Macaca fascicularis: one gene and its partners. The protein of the gene in region 1 purifies or fractionates together with the protein of each later gene. This does not show direct contact. Links are inferred from orthologs where the notes say so. Each region holds a gene or a part of one and is shown in the gene's direction. Other genes may lie near its edges.

Region 1 (7,288 bases):
CCCAACAATTATTAATGTTGTGCAGTGCCTCTCAAACTTCACTACACATTGTAATCACCTGGATGCTTTAAAAACTCTTGAAGCTCAGGCCATACCCTGGATCAATTAATCAGATTTTTGGGTGTGGGAGGTAGGCATCAGTAGTTATTAAAGCTCCTTGGCCTGGCGCGGTGGCTCACGCCTGTAATCCCAGCACTTTGGGCAGGTGGATCACCTGAGGTCGGGAGTTCAAGACCAGCCTAACCAACATGGAGAAACCTCGTCTCTACTAAAAATACAAAATTAGCCAGGCATGGTGGCGCATGCCTGTAATCCCAGCTACTCGGGCAGGCTGAGGCAGGAGAATTACTTGAACCCGGGAGGCGGAGGTTGCGTGCGGTAAACTGAGATCGCGCCATTGCACTCCAGCCTGGGCAACAAGAGTGAAACTCCATCTCAAAAAATAAAAGCTCCTCAAGCTCCCCAAGTGTGAGCCAAGTTTCAGAACCACTTATCTAGAAGGCAGCGGGAATAGAAAAGAATGCCAGTGTAAATTGCAAGTATAAAGGAATATTTTCCTTGATTTGGTAGTTAAATGGATAGGGGCAAGGGAAAAACAGCAAAGTCGAAGTTTTTATATGAAGAAAAGAACACTAAATCTGGATGGAATCCAGCAACCTGAGTTTAAGACCTGACAGAATTATTCATCTGTGTAAGGCAAGTCTTTTAACTCCTTTATGCCAGAATAACCTGATGTATAACCTGAAGTTGCTCTACATAATTCTTAGAGTTTTTATGAAGATTACTTGAAAAAATGAACATTACAAGCTTTTCTAATAAAACACTTTGAGACAAAATCAAAATCAAGATGGTATTATTTTGCATTTTAATTTTTAATTTTAAAAATTTATATTTTGAAATAATTTCAGATTTACTAGAGTTGCAAATATGGTAGAGTTCCTATATGTCCATCAAACTTCCTCAATTACAATGATTAAAACCAGGAATAAGATTGATAAAATACTATGAACTAAAATAGAGATTTTATTCTAATTTCATCAAATTATCTCACTGGTGTTCTTTTTCTGGACCAGGATTCAATCCAGGATCACACATTACATTTAGTTGTCATATCTCCTCAGTCTACCAATCTGAGATGGTTCCTCACCCCTTGTCTTTTTTTTTTTTTTTTTTTTTTTTTTTTTTTTTTTTTTTTTTTTGAGACGGAGTCTCCCTGTGTCTCCCAGGCTGGAGTGCAGTGGCGTGATCTCGGCTCACTGCAAGCTCCGCCTCCCGGGTTCACGCCATTCTCCTGCCTCAGCCTCCCAAGTAGCTGAGACTACAGGCGCCCGCCACCACGCCCGGCTAGTTTTTTTTTTTTTTTGTATTTTTAGTAGAGACGGGGTTTCACCATGTTAGCCAGGATAGTCTCGATCTCCTGACCTCGTGATCCACCCGCCTCGGCCTCCCAAAGTGCTGGGATTACAGGCTTGAGCCACCGCGCCCGGCCCACCCCTTGTCTTTCATGATCTTGACACTTGGAGATACTGGCCAGTTATTCTGTAGATTGTCTCTCATTTTGGATTTGTCTGATGTTTCCTCATAATTCAATTCAGTTTATGCAGGCTGGGCATGGTGGCTTATGCCTGTAATCCCAGCACTTTGGGAGGCCGAGGTGGGTGGATCACCTGAGTCAGGAGTTCGAGACCAGTCTGGACAACATGATGAAATCCCATCTCTACTAAAAATACAAAATTTGCCGGGTGTAGTGGTGCATGCCTGTAAATCCAGCTACTTGGGAGGCTAAGGCGGGAGAATCGCTTGAATCCAGGAGGCAGAGGTTGCAGTGAGCCGAGATTGCACCATTGCACTCCAGCCTAGGCAACAAGAGCGAAATTCCATCTCAAAACAAACAAACAAACAAAATACAAAAAAAATCAGTTTACGCGTATTTGTCAAGAATGCCACAGAAGTGATTTTGTGCGCTTCTCATCGCATCATGTTGAGAGGCACTTGGTAATACCTCTCAGCGGGGGGCAATGGCTCATGCCTGTAATCCCAGCACTTTGGGAAATCAAGGTGGGAGAACGGCTTGAACCCTGGAGTTCAAGATCAGCCTGGGCAACACAGCAAGACCCTGTCTCCTTAAAAAGAAGAGGGAGGCTGGGAGTGGTGGCTCATGCTGGCAATCTCAGCACTTTGGGATGCCAAGGCAGGCAGATCACCTGAGGTCAGGAGTTTGACAGCAGCCTGGCCAATACAGTGAAACCCCATCTCTACTAAAAATACAAAAATTAGCCAGGCGTGGTGGCACGAGCCTGTATTCCCGGCTACTCGGGAGGCTGAGGCGGGAGAATTGCTTGAGCCCAGGAGGCAGAGGTTGAAGTGAGCCTGAGGTGGGAGAATTGCTTGAGCCCCGGAGGCAGAGGTTGTAGTGAGCCGAGATCTCGCTACTGCACTCCAGCCTTCTGTCACGCCCCACCCCTACTCCCGCAAAAAAAAAAAAAGGAGAAGAAAACAATACCTCTCATGACTACTGATGTTAACTTTGATCACTTTGTTAAGGTGGTGTCTGCCAGATTCTTATCTGTAAATTTGCTATTTTTTACCTTTGTAACTAGTAGGTGTCTTGTGGGGATTTATTTTGATACAAGGCTACAATTTTGATTCCAAGTGACTAGAAGAACTATGGACAGAAATAGGGAGATTAGACATAAATAAAGGGCTTAGAGCCCATAGACCGGTGTCTGGGGAACTGGTAGGGGTGAAGCATCGGTATGAAGGTGCTCTGGGTTGGCTTCAAATGCTGAAGTGAGATGTGGCTTGCAACCAGCGCGTGAGGATGGCGCATCCGCTGAATAGGGTCTTCAGGAAAATATTAGTGGCTCTGCGAAGGTTTCCCCAGAGCCCTTGCCCTCCCCTGCCAGCGCCGCTTTGGAAGCCGTCGGGGCGGCTGCACCCGTCAGGACTCCTCAGTGCGGGTTTTTGGCGGCAAATGACCAACGTGCGACCGCGCGATACGGGTGGGTCAATGCGCACGCGCCGAAAGGAGGCGCGGGGCGGGACGCGGCGCAGGGGTGGGGCCGCAGCGCGCATGCGTCCTAGCGGCGGGTCCCTGCGGCTCGGGATGGAGGGTGAGTGAGTAAACAAGCCTGGGCCGAGCGGTGGGGCCGGGCCTCCTCCCCTCGCCGCCCTGGGCCTGAGGGAGGGAGAGGCGGAGGGATCAGGGAATTGGAAGGAATTCGAGGGACACACTGCCTCTCTGGCCGGGGGTAGCAGGCGCCCCTTCTCATTCCGAGGGCTAGGGGAATGGGGGCGACGGGGCGAGGGAGCCCCAGGCGAGGACAGCGTCTGGGACTACGAGGGCTGTGTGCCCGGGAGGAGGAGCGGCGGGGGCGGGCTCGGGGACGGGGAATCCCGTTGGACGGCGGGGTGGGACGATGGGCGGGAGCCCCAGCGCCCAAAGGGCGCGGGTGGGCGGTGGCACCTGCGGGGGCCTTTAGCGAGGTGGACTCTGGGGACCTGGAGCTGTGCTTGGGTGGGGGCTAGAGACCGGGGCTGATCTTGCGATGGCTTTCGGGGCTGTTGAGGAGGGGGTAGCAGTAAAAACAGGGCCGGGACTAGGGTGAGGTGAGTGAGTCAGGCTCCCAAGGCACAAAGTGTAAAGGAATACTGACTCAGGGTCGTGCAAATGCAGTGAGCGCCTCCTCACGTGCGTCCTGGGTGCCTCGGTCCCCTCGCCTGGGCCTGGCCCTGAGCAAGAATCTCCTTCACTCCAGACTTTTGGTCTCACGCCAATGATCGCTCACCCCCACCATTCTCCCGAGGATCAAATGATATAAATAAAAGTGCCTCGAAGCAAAGACAAGGTGTTGTATTTGGGACATGCCTGTTAGGAAATGTGGGACAAACTTTTATTTCAATAAAAAGTGACTACTGAGGAATTGTTTCTTGAGCAGGGAAGGGAAGGGATGCCTGAAGGATGTTAGTGCCCCCAGGGAATGTGAAGGAATATGGAGGGTGAAATGTAGGGTTGTAAATGGTGTAGCCCAGGCCGATAGGAACCTGACGCTTGGCAGGGGAGGATGTCAAAGAGCTCAGGCAGACTAGCAATTAGGGGTGTGCAAGGATGGCATTGAAAACGTGGGTCTCCTCCGCGTTTGCTGCCATGCTGCCGTTGAATAGAAAAATTCCCACACTCAGTGTTTTTTAAGTTTAGGAAGCTGATATTGAAGGAGGTTTCTAGCCTGAGAGGTGCTAACCCTATTAGAGGTTTCTGTGAAAGCTTGTCTATTTTAAGTCTCGGAATCCCCAGATATGCCATTGATAAAAGAGATTACTTACATAGGAGAGAGTGTGTGTTAGGAGATAAGTACTTTAGGCTGGGCTCGGTAGCTCACATCTGAAATCCCAGCGTTCGGGAGGCCCAGGCAGGAGAATAGCTTGAGCCCAGGAGTTTGGGATCAGCCCAGGCAACAATAGTGAGACCTCATCTCTACAAACAAACAAACAAACAAACAAACAAAAAAACTAGCCAGGTGTGGTGGGCTTCTTCTATAGTCCCAGCTCCCAGCTACTTGGGAGGCTGAAGCAGGAGTATTGCTTGAGACTGGGAGGTCAAGGTTACAGTGAGCTCTGATCCCGCCACTGCACTCCAGTCTGGGTGACAGCGCGTGAGACCCTGTCTCAAGGAAAAAAAAAAAAAATGGGCGCAGTGGCTCATGCCTGTAATCCCAGCACTTTGGGAGGTTGAGGTGGATGGATCATTTGAGCCCAGGAGTTTGAGACCAGCCTGGGCAACATGGTGAAACTCCATCTCTACTAAAAATACAAAAATTAACCAGGTGTGGTGGCACACGCCTGTAGTCCCAGCTACTCGGGAGGGCTGAGGCATTAGAATCGCTTGAACCTGGGAAGTGGCAGTGAGCCGAGATGGCGCCACTGCACACCAGCCTGGGTAACAGAGTGAGACTCTGTCTCAAAAAAACAAAAAAGAGGCCAGGCACAGTGGCTCAGGCCTGTAATCCCAGCGCTTTGGGAGGCCGAAGCAGGCGGATCAGTTGAGGTTAGGAGTTCGAGAGCAGCCTGGGCAACATGACGAAACTCCTTCTCTACAAAAAAATATAAGAATTAGCTGAGTGTGCTGGTGGGTGCCTGTAATCCCAGCTATTCAGGGGGCTGAGGCACAAGAATTGCTTGAACCCGGGAGGTGGAGGTTGCAGTGAGCCAACATTGCACCACTGCACTCCAGCATGGGTGACAGAGAAAGATTCTGTCTCAAAAAAAAAAAAAAAAGGGAGAGAGAAGTATTTAAAAATGCACATACATAATAGGAGAAAGGACCATTTATAAAACTGTAATAATGCTATCATTGTCAAGGTTTATGCTTAGTGTTGTGTATCACAAACATAATGAGTCAACTCCAAAGGCAGGGATGTATGTTTTATTCAATGATGTACCCCAAACACCTAAAACAGTAACACATAGTAGACACTACTATTAAGTATAATAGTAGGTGCTCAACATATATTTGTGGAATAAATTGTGGGGAAATTTCTGGCACTGGGAGTCAGGTGATCTGGATGCTAGTGTTGTCAGTAACTGGCAGAGTACTTGTATGTCAATCGTGGAACTTGATGCTAAGGCCCAGCTTAAAATTCCTTAAAGTGTAAATGACTTCTTCATTAGTGCCCTCTGAAACAGCACTAGAGGCCGGGCTTGATGGCTCACACCTATAATCCCAGCACTTTGGGAGGATGAGGCTGGTGGATCACCTGAGGTCGGGAGTTCAAAACCAGCCTGGCCAATATATGGTGAAACCCCATCTCTAAAATACAAAAAATTAGTCAGGCATGGTAGCGGACACCTATAATCCTAGCTCTTGGGAGACTGAGGTGGGAGAATCGCTTGAACTCGGGAGTGGGAGGTTGCAGTGAGATCACGCCACTGCACTCCAGCCTGGACACAAAAGAGTGAGACTCCGTCTCAGGGAAAAAAAAAAAAAAAGAGACAACACTAGAATGAGGCTGGAACTAAAAATGAAATTTTACTCCCAAGGAGACATTTGGGAGAAGGGAAAGATGAGAAAAATGTGGTCGGGCTTGTTACTTATATATTTGCCTTTGAATTATACCTTCAAACAACCGATTTCAGTCTAGACATGTGGCTCACGCCTGTAATCCCCGTACTTTGGGAGGCTAAGGTGGGCAGATCACTTGAGTTCAGGAGTTTGAGACCAGCTTGGGCAACATGACAAAACTCTGTCTCTACAAAAACATTACAAAAATTAGCTGGGCCTAGTGGTGTGGGCCTGTAGTCTCAGCTACTCAGGAGGCTGAGTAGGGAGGATTGGTTGAACCCGGGAGGCAGAGGTTGCAAGCCACTGCATTCCAGTCTGGGCAACAGAGCAAGACGCTGTCTCAAAATCAAAACAAAATAAGAAACCGATTCAGAATATTAATTTTGTCTATTTTTAATTCCTAGGATCTGAAACCTGGCTTCCTTACTCTATAGGCAACAGTTCCTTCCCTTTGATTTGCTCTTTATATGAAACATGTAACAATTCATGTCATTAAGTATGTCTTTTTCTGGTCTTGGACTAAGTTTAAAAAGTTTCACTTTGGGTCCCCCACACTGTGGCTCACGCCTATAATCCCATCTCTTTGGGAGGAGGCCGAGGGATTGATCACTTGAAGCCAGGAGTTTGGGACCAGCCTGTCCAACACAGTGAAACCCCATTTCTACAATTAGCTGGGCCTGGTGGCACACACCTGTCATCCCAGCTACTTGGGAGGCTGAGGAACGAGAATCCCTTGAACCTGGGAGGCGGAGGTTGCAGTGAGCGGAGATGGCGTCACTGTACTCTAGCCTGGGCGACAGAGGGAGACCCTGTCTCAAAAAAAAAGTTTCCACTTTGTTCACTAGTAGCATCCCAGAAAAGATTTGAGGTAGCAACACTAAAAACACACTAATTCCATTTCTACATAGAATAAAATAAAGAGAAAAGGGAGAACAATGTGTGGAGAAAAGTGAAGATAATTAGATAAGTTGGGATTGAGGGGAAGGGTTAAAAGTTAAAAAAAAGAAAAATTGTGCTTCTCCATTCTGGAAAGTCCCTCGCTTTTCGTTTGTTTGTTTTCTGTCCAAACTGTGTACATATTAGATTCTTTCCTACTCTTTAGTCTATCGGTCAGTCATCAGTTGGGACTTGAGTACACTACACCCTAAAGTCATGAGTTACTTAATGGGTAGTTGGAGTTCAGTATCTTTAGTGTGTTTTATTCTCTAACTCACCTACCCTACTAATTTG
Region 2 (4,297 bases), on another chromosome or scaffold:
TACAGGGGTGAGCCACCACGCCCGGCCCATCAATTTTTAATTCAGACACTTAATTCTTTGAATCCTTTTCCCCCAGAATCGAAAGGCCCCACAGAGGCCACATCTGGTCAACCTCCCATAGTTTGCAGACATTCTCTCTTAGAGGCCCCGAGATCCTCTGCTTGTCCACAAGCAGCATTTCCCTCCCAGGTGGACCCCTGAGGTCCCCCTTTGACTAGAGTACCCTGTGTCCCACAGCTTCCGCCTGTCTAGTGGAAGTTGGAGGACAGCAGCTCTGCCCCCAGTAAGTGAGAGACTTACAGGCATGCCGGGTTAAAAAACAAACACGTAAAAGATCGTTCCCTGCTCTTACAATCTAGTTGAGAGTCGGGCCATAAAAAGGGACCCTAGGCCAGGTGTGGTGGCTCACGCCTGTAATCCTAGCACTTTGGGAGGCGGAGGTGGGTGGATCACCTGAAGTCAGGAGTTCGAGACCAGCCTAGCCAACATGGTGAGACCCTCCTCTGTACTAAAAATACAAAAATTAGCTGGGCGTGGTGGCGGGCGCCTGTAATCCCAGCTACTCAAGAGGCTGAGACAGGAGAATTGCTTGAACCCAGGAAGCAGAGGTTGCAGTGAGCCGAGATTGGGCCATTGCACTCCAGCCTCGGTGACAAGAGTGAAACTCCATCTCAAAAAAAAAAAGGACCCTAACACATAAAGAGATTTTTGAGGTGTTAAACCCAAACCAACAAGGTGGAGAGTCTCATCCCTCCCTCCACCATCAGTCCTACAAGGTTAAGACATCTGACAGAGAAGGAGCCTTTGTCAAATTGGTAGTTCGCAAAAATAAAGGTTGTGTAGCTTTTAATCTAAAATTCTACCCCAACACTAAGTTCCGTAACTATTTTGATTAATATATTCTTAAGGATTTAGCGACTCTGTGTGTGTGTGTGTGTGTGTGTGTGTGTGTGTGTGCGCGCGCGCTTAGACGAAAACAGAAACGGTTCCTTAAAATACCCAGTTTGTGAAAGCAAAGGGCCTGGAACCACTTAGTACTATCACTTTGATCAAGTACTATCAAGTACTATCACTTGATTGCTTCAACCCAATAAGCTTGGGAGAGCCTGGCACTGTGCTAGGATCTTCTGGAGAAATCCAAGAATGGTAAGACTTGGGTTTTACTGCTCTTCACCTCACTACTCGGATCTCAGGCAGGCAGGGGACCAGGGTGGGGGCTCCAATTCCCGGTTCGTGTTTGTTTTTTCAGGGGGCATTTTACTGAGCACTAAATACGCGCAGGTGCTGCACTAGGTGCCAGGAGCCCCGCACGCGGAGGAGCGGCGTGCACGCGTGTCAGTTAACTGGGCGCACAGTGCCCGTGGCGCCGCAGACCCAGCCCTCGGACTCAGTTTCCCCGCATGGGGATCGCTCGCCCCGCCCGCGGCGGGCCGCGGAGCAGCAGCCCCCCGCCCCGGCCCTGCCTTCCAGGTTTCCGCCCGCGCGGCTGCGTCCTCCACACTCCACCGGAAGCTCCCGGCAGGGCCGCGGGTAGGTGGTGGCGGAGGCGGCGACGAGGTTGGCTGCTCTGCACCCCTGCCCCAGGACAGCAGGGCGGCTCCCCGGCCCCCTTCCTCGTCCTGGACGCCCCGCTCCAGCTCCCCCTCGCTGAAGCGGGGACTCCCCGGGCGCAGCCGGGGACATGGAACCTCGGCTGCAGAGCCGGCCCCTGGACTCACTGCCCCCAGCCCAGCGGCAGGCGCCCCGGCCGCCCGGCGGCTTATTCCTGCTTCCGCGGGCACCGGCGCTGCCTGACTCCCAGCGCTGCGCTCGCAACTGGATATGTTGAGGTGGCGACGCGACGCTCCCCCGCCCTCGGGAGGGATCACCGACTGGGCTGGGGGCTCAGACAGGCAACCCGGCCTGCAGAGCCGGGCGGCGGGGGCTGTGCTGGCGCCGGCAGGCGAGAGGAATCACAGAGCGGGGCGCCCAGCCTCATCATGGGGCCCACAAAGACTTCCCATGGGAGTGGGGTCTAGTGCAGGGGCGCCCCGAAGGACGAGTGGGAGATGGGGACACGCGGCGCAGAGAGACTTCTCGTGGATGGAGCCGATGGAGGCCCAGTGTGGAAGAGAAAGGGGTCAAGGAGACGAATAAGGAGCCACCAGAGACGCAGGGGGAATTCCCCCCAGAGGATGCGGGAAGCCGGGGAAAGGAAGGGAATCCGGAAGGAAGGGCTGAGAGCCGGTCAGGTGCTGGCAGAAGGGCTGGTTGGATAGAGACTGGGACGGGCCCAGAGCATTTGGCGTCCTCGACATTCATATACACTTGGAGAGATGATTCCCTGGAGATCCAAGTGCCTGTATAGACAATCTTTTCTAGGGGTTCTACAATTAAGAACCCCTAGGAGAGGGGTTCTTAAGTGAGGAGAGGGTAGATGTAGAAATTGGAGACGAGAATAGAGTGTTGTAAAGGCATGCGTGGTTAGAGAACTGGCTCTGGATTCAGGAGTCCCCACTCACTAGCTGTGAGACCTTCAGCAAGTCACTTAGCCTCTCTGTGCCTCGGTTTTCTCATCTCTAAGGTGGGGATGATGATGGCCATACCTGCTTCATAGAGTGACAATTAGATGAGATGATGTCTGTAAAATTACATAACACAGCACCCAAAAGTAGTACTAGTTATTTTTCCCTTTTCTTATTAGAGCAGCTTGGGCACATTTTGATGTCCGTGGGAATGAACAGGTAGAGTGGGTGGTATTGAAGCCAGAGGGGAGAGAAGGGACCCACAGATGGGGAGAGAAGTCTTGGGTGTTTGTTTTATCTCAAACCCCAGGGAAAGGAGGGAACAGGTAGGGCTGTAGGAAAGTTTGCAGCTATGGGGTACACAGTTAAAGGGAGTGTCTTCTCATGGTCTTGATGCAGGCCTGGAGGTCGTTTGCTATAGGGGTGAAGGTCCTGATGTACACTGTGGCTGTAAGATGCCGTGCCCTCTTTGCCACCAGCCTGTGGCAGCCCCGGTGTTACACCAGGGCAGGTGGGCAGTTTAATGTATCTCAGGTCCGATGACCTGCACTGCCCACCTGTGAGGCTCCAGTAGATAGATGTGAAAACACAGTGTAAGCATAATGTCCCACTTTCATCCTTTTCTCTGAGGAGCTGGAAGGCCTGTAGTCACCATCTGAGCCAAATGTCAAAGTCTTTCAAGTACTTCACTTGGGCTACACACCACACTTTGATCCACGATCTCATTTAGTCATCACAACAGTTGGGTGAAATAGGTATTATTGTCCCATTTTACAGATGCAGAATCTGAGTTTCAGAGAAGTTAAGGACTTTGTCCCAGGGCCCGCAGTTAGTAAGCAGTGGACCCAGGATTTCAACTCAGCTCTGTCTGACCTCAAAACCCATGATCTGAAACCAATGTGAAAGTTTGCAAAACCTCTGTAGCAGCTGAACTCGATGGAAAGATATGTAGGGATCATCTTCTCCATTTAATAGATGAGACAAGAGCTGGGTACTCTGATCTCCATCAGAGATCACACGCACAGAGCTTGGGGCCCCACAGCCCTGGAGTGAATCCTGCTCCACCACCAGAGGCTGTGTGCCTTTGGACCAGGCATCTTGCTTCTCTGACCCTATGTACAGCTGCAGAAGAATTCCTTGCAGGTTGCTGTAAGGATTTGGAGGGAAACTGTTGCCCAGCACACAGTACACATGCCAGGAGCCATCGTTTCCAAGGTGTACTTCTCCTGCAAACGTGGATCTACGTCCCACTTGGCTGCTGAGACCAGCTGCCGTGATCTTGTAGTTGTTTAATGCTTTGTTCTCCTTGAGGCAGCAAAGTGGTGGCACCTGACCGGAGCATGTAGCCACCTATGACTTCCTGAGTGGGGTGGTGCAGGGAGGGCCCTGAGGAGTCTGTGGTCCTAAGGCCTTGGATTTCATCAGGGCTTTCCTGCTCCTTCTGGTTGCCTCAGTCCCAGGCAAGATAGGGTCCCAGAATCTTACAGCCTAGAAGCCACCTGTTGCGACTTCTTTTTTACAGATGGGGTCATCAGAACCCACTGTGAGGAAGTGACTTCTCTTTGAGATCATCCAGACACTCCACACAGAGCAGAGCAAAAGTGCCTAGAACTTGAAATTTTGGACTTGCCTTCAACACCCTGGGGATTTCCACCAGGAAGGTGAGCACCCCCACTGAGAATTCCAGGCTGCTCAGAGGTGCCAGGGAACACAGACCAGGGGCCAGCTATGGCCTTCTCCTCCGATGTGCCCAGGGAGGTGGGGGAAGCCAGCGGCAGCCTGCGATTCTCAGC
Region 3 (4,300 bases), on another chromosome or scaffold:
ACAAGCCTCCCCACAGGTTTGATCACCACTAATCTGCAGATGAGGAAACTGACCAGCTCAGAGTGGCTCTCAGTTGCCTTTTGGGAAGTGGCCAAGGTGCGATTTGAATCCAGGTCTCTTACCTCCAGTTTCTGAGACCTTTCTAGACACCAAGGTTATCTCTTCAAATACTGCTGCAAGTAAACAGCTGTGTTACTCGAGTATCTAGACTTTTGAAGTAAGCAGACTCTAGGGAATGGGTAGAGTAAAATATATGGGTATGTGCTCGAGGGAGCGCTTCTGCCACGTTTTATTCCGAGGCTAGCCTGAGAGATCATGGAAAACATTGCTTCTCCAAAACCGCAGCGAAAAACAAGGAAATTAACAAGGCAGAATGGCGATGCGAGACTTGACAAAGTTGTTAATAAGGCGAAGGCCCAAAGCGCTACGCCAGGGCCTGCTACTTCATTTGTTTCAGCGATTAAACCTGCACGTCAGGGGGCTCGAGGCAGGTAAAAAGCAGGCTCTCGTGTGGCCCCGGCAGTTGATATTACTGGCACTCGGTGTTCGAGATGCTTCCTTACAGCTGCGTTTCTGTGCGGCTTGGTCTCCATATTCCACTCATTTTTGCCTCAACATTTCGTGGTATTTTATCACCAAATACGCCCGGCAAAGCAAAGATCCCGTTCAGTTTCTTTAAACACGGCTATCTTTTCTCAGGAGGCAGCCGCCAGGGCTTCACTCCTGGGCCATCAGCAACGTCCCCCAAGCGGGTCGGGCGGAAACGCGTTCGTGACCGAGGGGCCGCGTGCCGAGCTCGGGCGTGGGGGGGCGTGGCCCTTACACTCGGCGACCCCTGGCCACCGCCCACCCCGCGCGTGGGGGCGTGCGCGGCTGCGGGGCGCGGAGAGGAGTGACCTCGGACTACCCTAGGCGCCCGCAGCACGCTCTGTACACAGACGCGAGGCGCTGTCCTGAGGTGACACCGGCTGCACGGCACAAGCAGCAGGCGCCGCCGATCAACTAGTTCGCACCGAGGATTCCTCTTGGTGCGTGGCCCAGTTTTCCTTAGGACGGGCTCCAACCCCTCCCTGACACCGCCCCCCTCGCCGCCACGCTCCGAGGCCTTCCCCGGGGAAGCCTCGCGTCCCTCCCCCGCGGCTCCGGGCCGCACGCGCGCGATTCCTCGATTCCACAGGCGGTTCGCGCCGCGGGTGGGGGCGGGGCGCGCGGGGAGGGGGCCGGCGGCCGCCAGGGGAGGGGGGCCGGGGCCCAGGGGACGGAGGGGGGCCGGCGTGGGGAGTTCCTCGCTCGCGGACCACACGCTCCGCGGGCCAATCCCGAGCCAGCCTCTAGCAGTGTCGCACGCGGGACACGTCCAAGCGTTTGTTGGCACGGCCGGTGAGGGGGAGGGGGCGAGGAGGAGGGAGGGGAGTTGAGTGACAGGCTTTGCGGGGCAGGCTGGGAATTGTAGTTCCCAGCTTCCGTGGCCATAGCCATTTTGTAGTCGGGGGACTACAACTTCCAGAAGATCAAGGGGACCATTCTAAGGTGCCCCGGGAATAGGCGGCTCTCCCCGGGGCCGGGCGTCCTGGGGCACTCCTACCCAGCAGCCCGGCTGCAGGTAGACGCGAAGGCAGTGGCGGGGGCTGGCGTGGGGCGGTCGTGGGGTGAGCGGCAGGCAGGGGAAAGGGGGTGAGGTGGAGCGACGGAGCGTGCCATGCATTGAGCTAGGGAGCCTCTCTCAATTCCACGCCTGGGCTCGGCGTGGGAGCGACGCCCGAGGGCTTGCCTGGGAGGGGTTCGTCGAGGTCGCTCGGGTGTCTGGTTGGCCAGGCTGCGGGGGTGCCCTGGACTGGGCCAGGGGCGGTCGGCACCGGGCTAAGCGGGCGCCTGGCGGCTGAGCGGTGGGAGTTTTCGGCTGGCGCCCGGCGGGGAATTATCCGAGGAGCCCTAACTTGTATAAAAGCAGAGTCCATTTAAAGTTGGGCTGGATAGCCTCTCTCTCATTGGTTAGGGGGCTTGGAAAAAAGAGACTCGGCGAGCCCTCGCTGTGGTGCTGCCGCCGCCGCCGCCGCCGCCGCCGCCGCCGCCGCTGGAGTTGACTCTTCTGCTCGCACTGCTGCTGCAGCACAAACGTGACTTCCAACATTTTTTATTTATCTTTCCCTTTTCTTTTCCAAGATGTAACTACGGATCAGACACTAAGGACCTTCACGTTTCGCTGATGTAGTTTTTGGAGGAAAAAGGGGGGGGAGTGAAGGGCGTCGGTTTTTTTTTGTGTGTGTGTGTATGTGTTTCGGGGGAAATTTTCCATTATGAGTGTTTTACTAAAGTGAATTTTTTTTTGTTTGCTTCGTTCGTCTTTGGCTCTTTTTTTTTCCTTCCCAATTTCGGATTTATTTCAAGGCGAATCTGGCTTTGGGGGAAGAGGAAGAAAAGTCGGATTACAAGATCAACCACCACCAACAACAATAAAAACCACCAGGATATTTTTTTGCAAATTTCTGACGGCTTTAAATTCATGAAGCAATTGTCCCCTTTTGCAATCAGCATTTGGATCTCAGAATGAGCAAGGAAAGACCGAAGAGGAATATCATTCAGAAGAAATACGTAAGTGCTCCTAACAACACATCCTTTGACTTGCAGTTTTAAGCAATGGCTGTGAATGTCAAGTTTATAGATAATTCTGCAGCTGAAGGGTTTTAAACACAGCGTCCGATAAGGCTGTTTCTTTCTTTTCTGAAAGAGGGCTTTTCAAGCGAAGTGGTGTCTGCCTAGTTTGGTTGAAAAAACAGATTGGTGTAGAGATACCTCAAGTGAATAAATTGACCTCGAATGACACAACCATAATCTAGTTTTAGATGAAAGGCAAGGGATTTTGGTGGAGCTTGAGGTGGGGGGGCGGCTGCGGTAATGTAACTAAACTGCATTCTCAAGCGGATTTGGCCCCGTATTGCACTTTGCATGCAAATGAGCCTGTGTTATTATTATTAATGTTATTTGGAAAAATCGTGTAACTCATGTGTGTTGGAAGCCCTTTAAGTTGCGATGGAGGGTCCGATTATGGCGATCTTCTCTTTGCATTGGCACATCAAATTTAACGTCTGTGGTCGTTTTGGCTTATCTGGTTTACAACATAAACCAGTTGGGAATCATGTTACAGCGAATGCATTTGTTGGGATTGACTTTAATAATGAGGCTGGTTTTGTTTAAAAAATTCATGATTTCCAGTTGTAGGGGAAAAGGACACACACTATGGCTAATGTTTTTAAGTGTGTACGTGAATGTATATGTAAGTAACTACAAATATTTTCTCCCTGTTAACTGGGCTTCTGAAATTGGGTGATTATTCACAGATTTAAATGGCTTGGAATAGTTAAATTTGTTTTGTGCATAGTACAGCTACGTTTTGATTGGCATGGGGAGTGTTTTTGTTTTGTGTGTGGTGGCTTTTTTTTTTTTTTTAAGTTTGAGGGGAGGGAGGAAGGGGGGACCGAGCGATTAACCAAATATGCACTCGAGTGATCTGTGATCAGCGGCATGCTTTAAATTAAATAACTCATTTTTTTCAAAAAAGGCCAAATGAACATACCTTAGGGATAATGCAACGTAAGAGGAAAGTTTTATTTAAGTTGGGTAGACAAATTGGTGTTAATATTTTCCCTTTTTGATCATTGTGGTGTGTGTAATGAGAGATGACCTTCGGGGCACTGGTTTTGTAAAAATATATTTAATGGAAAAGCTGAATGCTTCTTCAAGAGAGCTGATCCTTATCTAGACACGTCAACTTCAACTATGAAAGAAATGCAAGGTTAAATAATCAAGCCCAACTTAGAATGCTGTTCCATAAAGAATTTAAGAATTAAAATACATCCGCATTGCAGAGGGCTGGGTAGAATGCAAAGGACTAGTTTAAACTCAGGCTGTAGAAACTGCACGGAGGCAACCTTGCCTCGGAGCGTAGACGCCTTCCCGGGGCACGTCCGTTTCGGATGCAGCCACAAAGCAAATGGGGTAGAACTTGGACGAGAACCGCACCCCGCCTCCCATTCCGGACCTCGTTGAGGTGGACAGCAGCGTGGGGTGGGTTTTCTTTTTTATTGCGGGCAGTCAGCGGATCGTGTCTCCGAGTCCGGACGTCCGGCTGCAAGCCCGTGGCTGGCGGCGGCCGCGGGAGGCACGGCACGAGTTAATGCTTCGGGAGCAGAGCCGGTGTTCCCGACGTGCTCGAGCCGGCTGCGAAGGGGACGGCGCGCGGGGGTCGCGGCAGGCTGGGCCTGGGGCTGGGCGGGCGGGGGGGCGCGCGCGCGCGCGGCCT

The links.
Region 2: the proteins of EZH1 (region 1) and PHF19 purify together in Homo sapiens (affinity purification with mass spectrometry; 4 studies listed by BioGRID and IntAct, counting the BioPlex papers as one, with this or other methods). This does not show direct contact. The link is inferred for Macaca fascicularis from reciprocal best matches to the Homo sapiens genes EZH1 and PHF19.
Region 3: the proteins of EZH1 (region 1) and JARID2 purify together in Homo sapiens (affinity purification with mass spectrometry; 4 studies listed by BioGRID and IntAct, with this or other methods). This does not show direct contact. The link is inferred for Macaca fascicularis from reciprocal best matches to the Homo sapiens genes EZH1 and JARID2.

What each region holds. Positions count from the first base shown.
Region 1 is NC_088390.1:63,799,023-63,806,310, reverse strand, and holds the start of EZH1 (histone-lysine N-methyltransferase EZH1), read left to right. Parts: upstream 1-3,082; 5' UTR 3,083-3,113; intron 3,114-7,288.
Region 2 is NC_088389.1:37,054,057-37,058,353, forward strand, and holds the start of PHF19 (PHD finger protein 19), read left to right. Parts: upstream 1-1,497; 5' UTR 1,498-1,530; intron 1,531-1,532; exon of another isoform or gene 1,533-4,026; 5' UTR 4,027-4,165; intron 4,166-4,297.
Region 3 is NC_088378.1:157,706,535-157,710,834, reverse strand, and holds the start of JARID2 (protein Jumonji), read left to right. Parts: upstream 1-1,500; 5' UTR 1,501-1,603; intron 1,604-1,987; exon of another isoform or gene 1,988-2,016; coding exon of another isoform or gene 2,017-2,131; exon of another isoform or gene 2,132-2,388; 5' UTR 2,389-2,547; coding exon 2,548-2,592; intron 2,593-3,857; exon of another isoform or gene 3,858-4,065; intron 4,066-4,300. Other genes in the region: uncharacterized protein, read right to left, coding at 686-1,500, 2,017-2,131.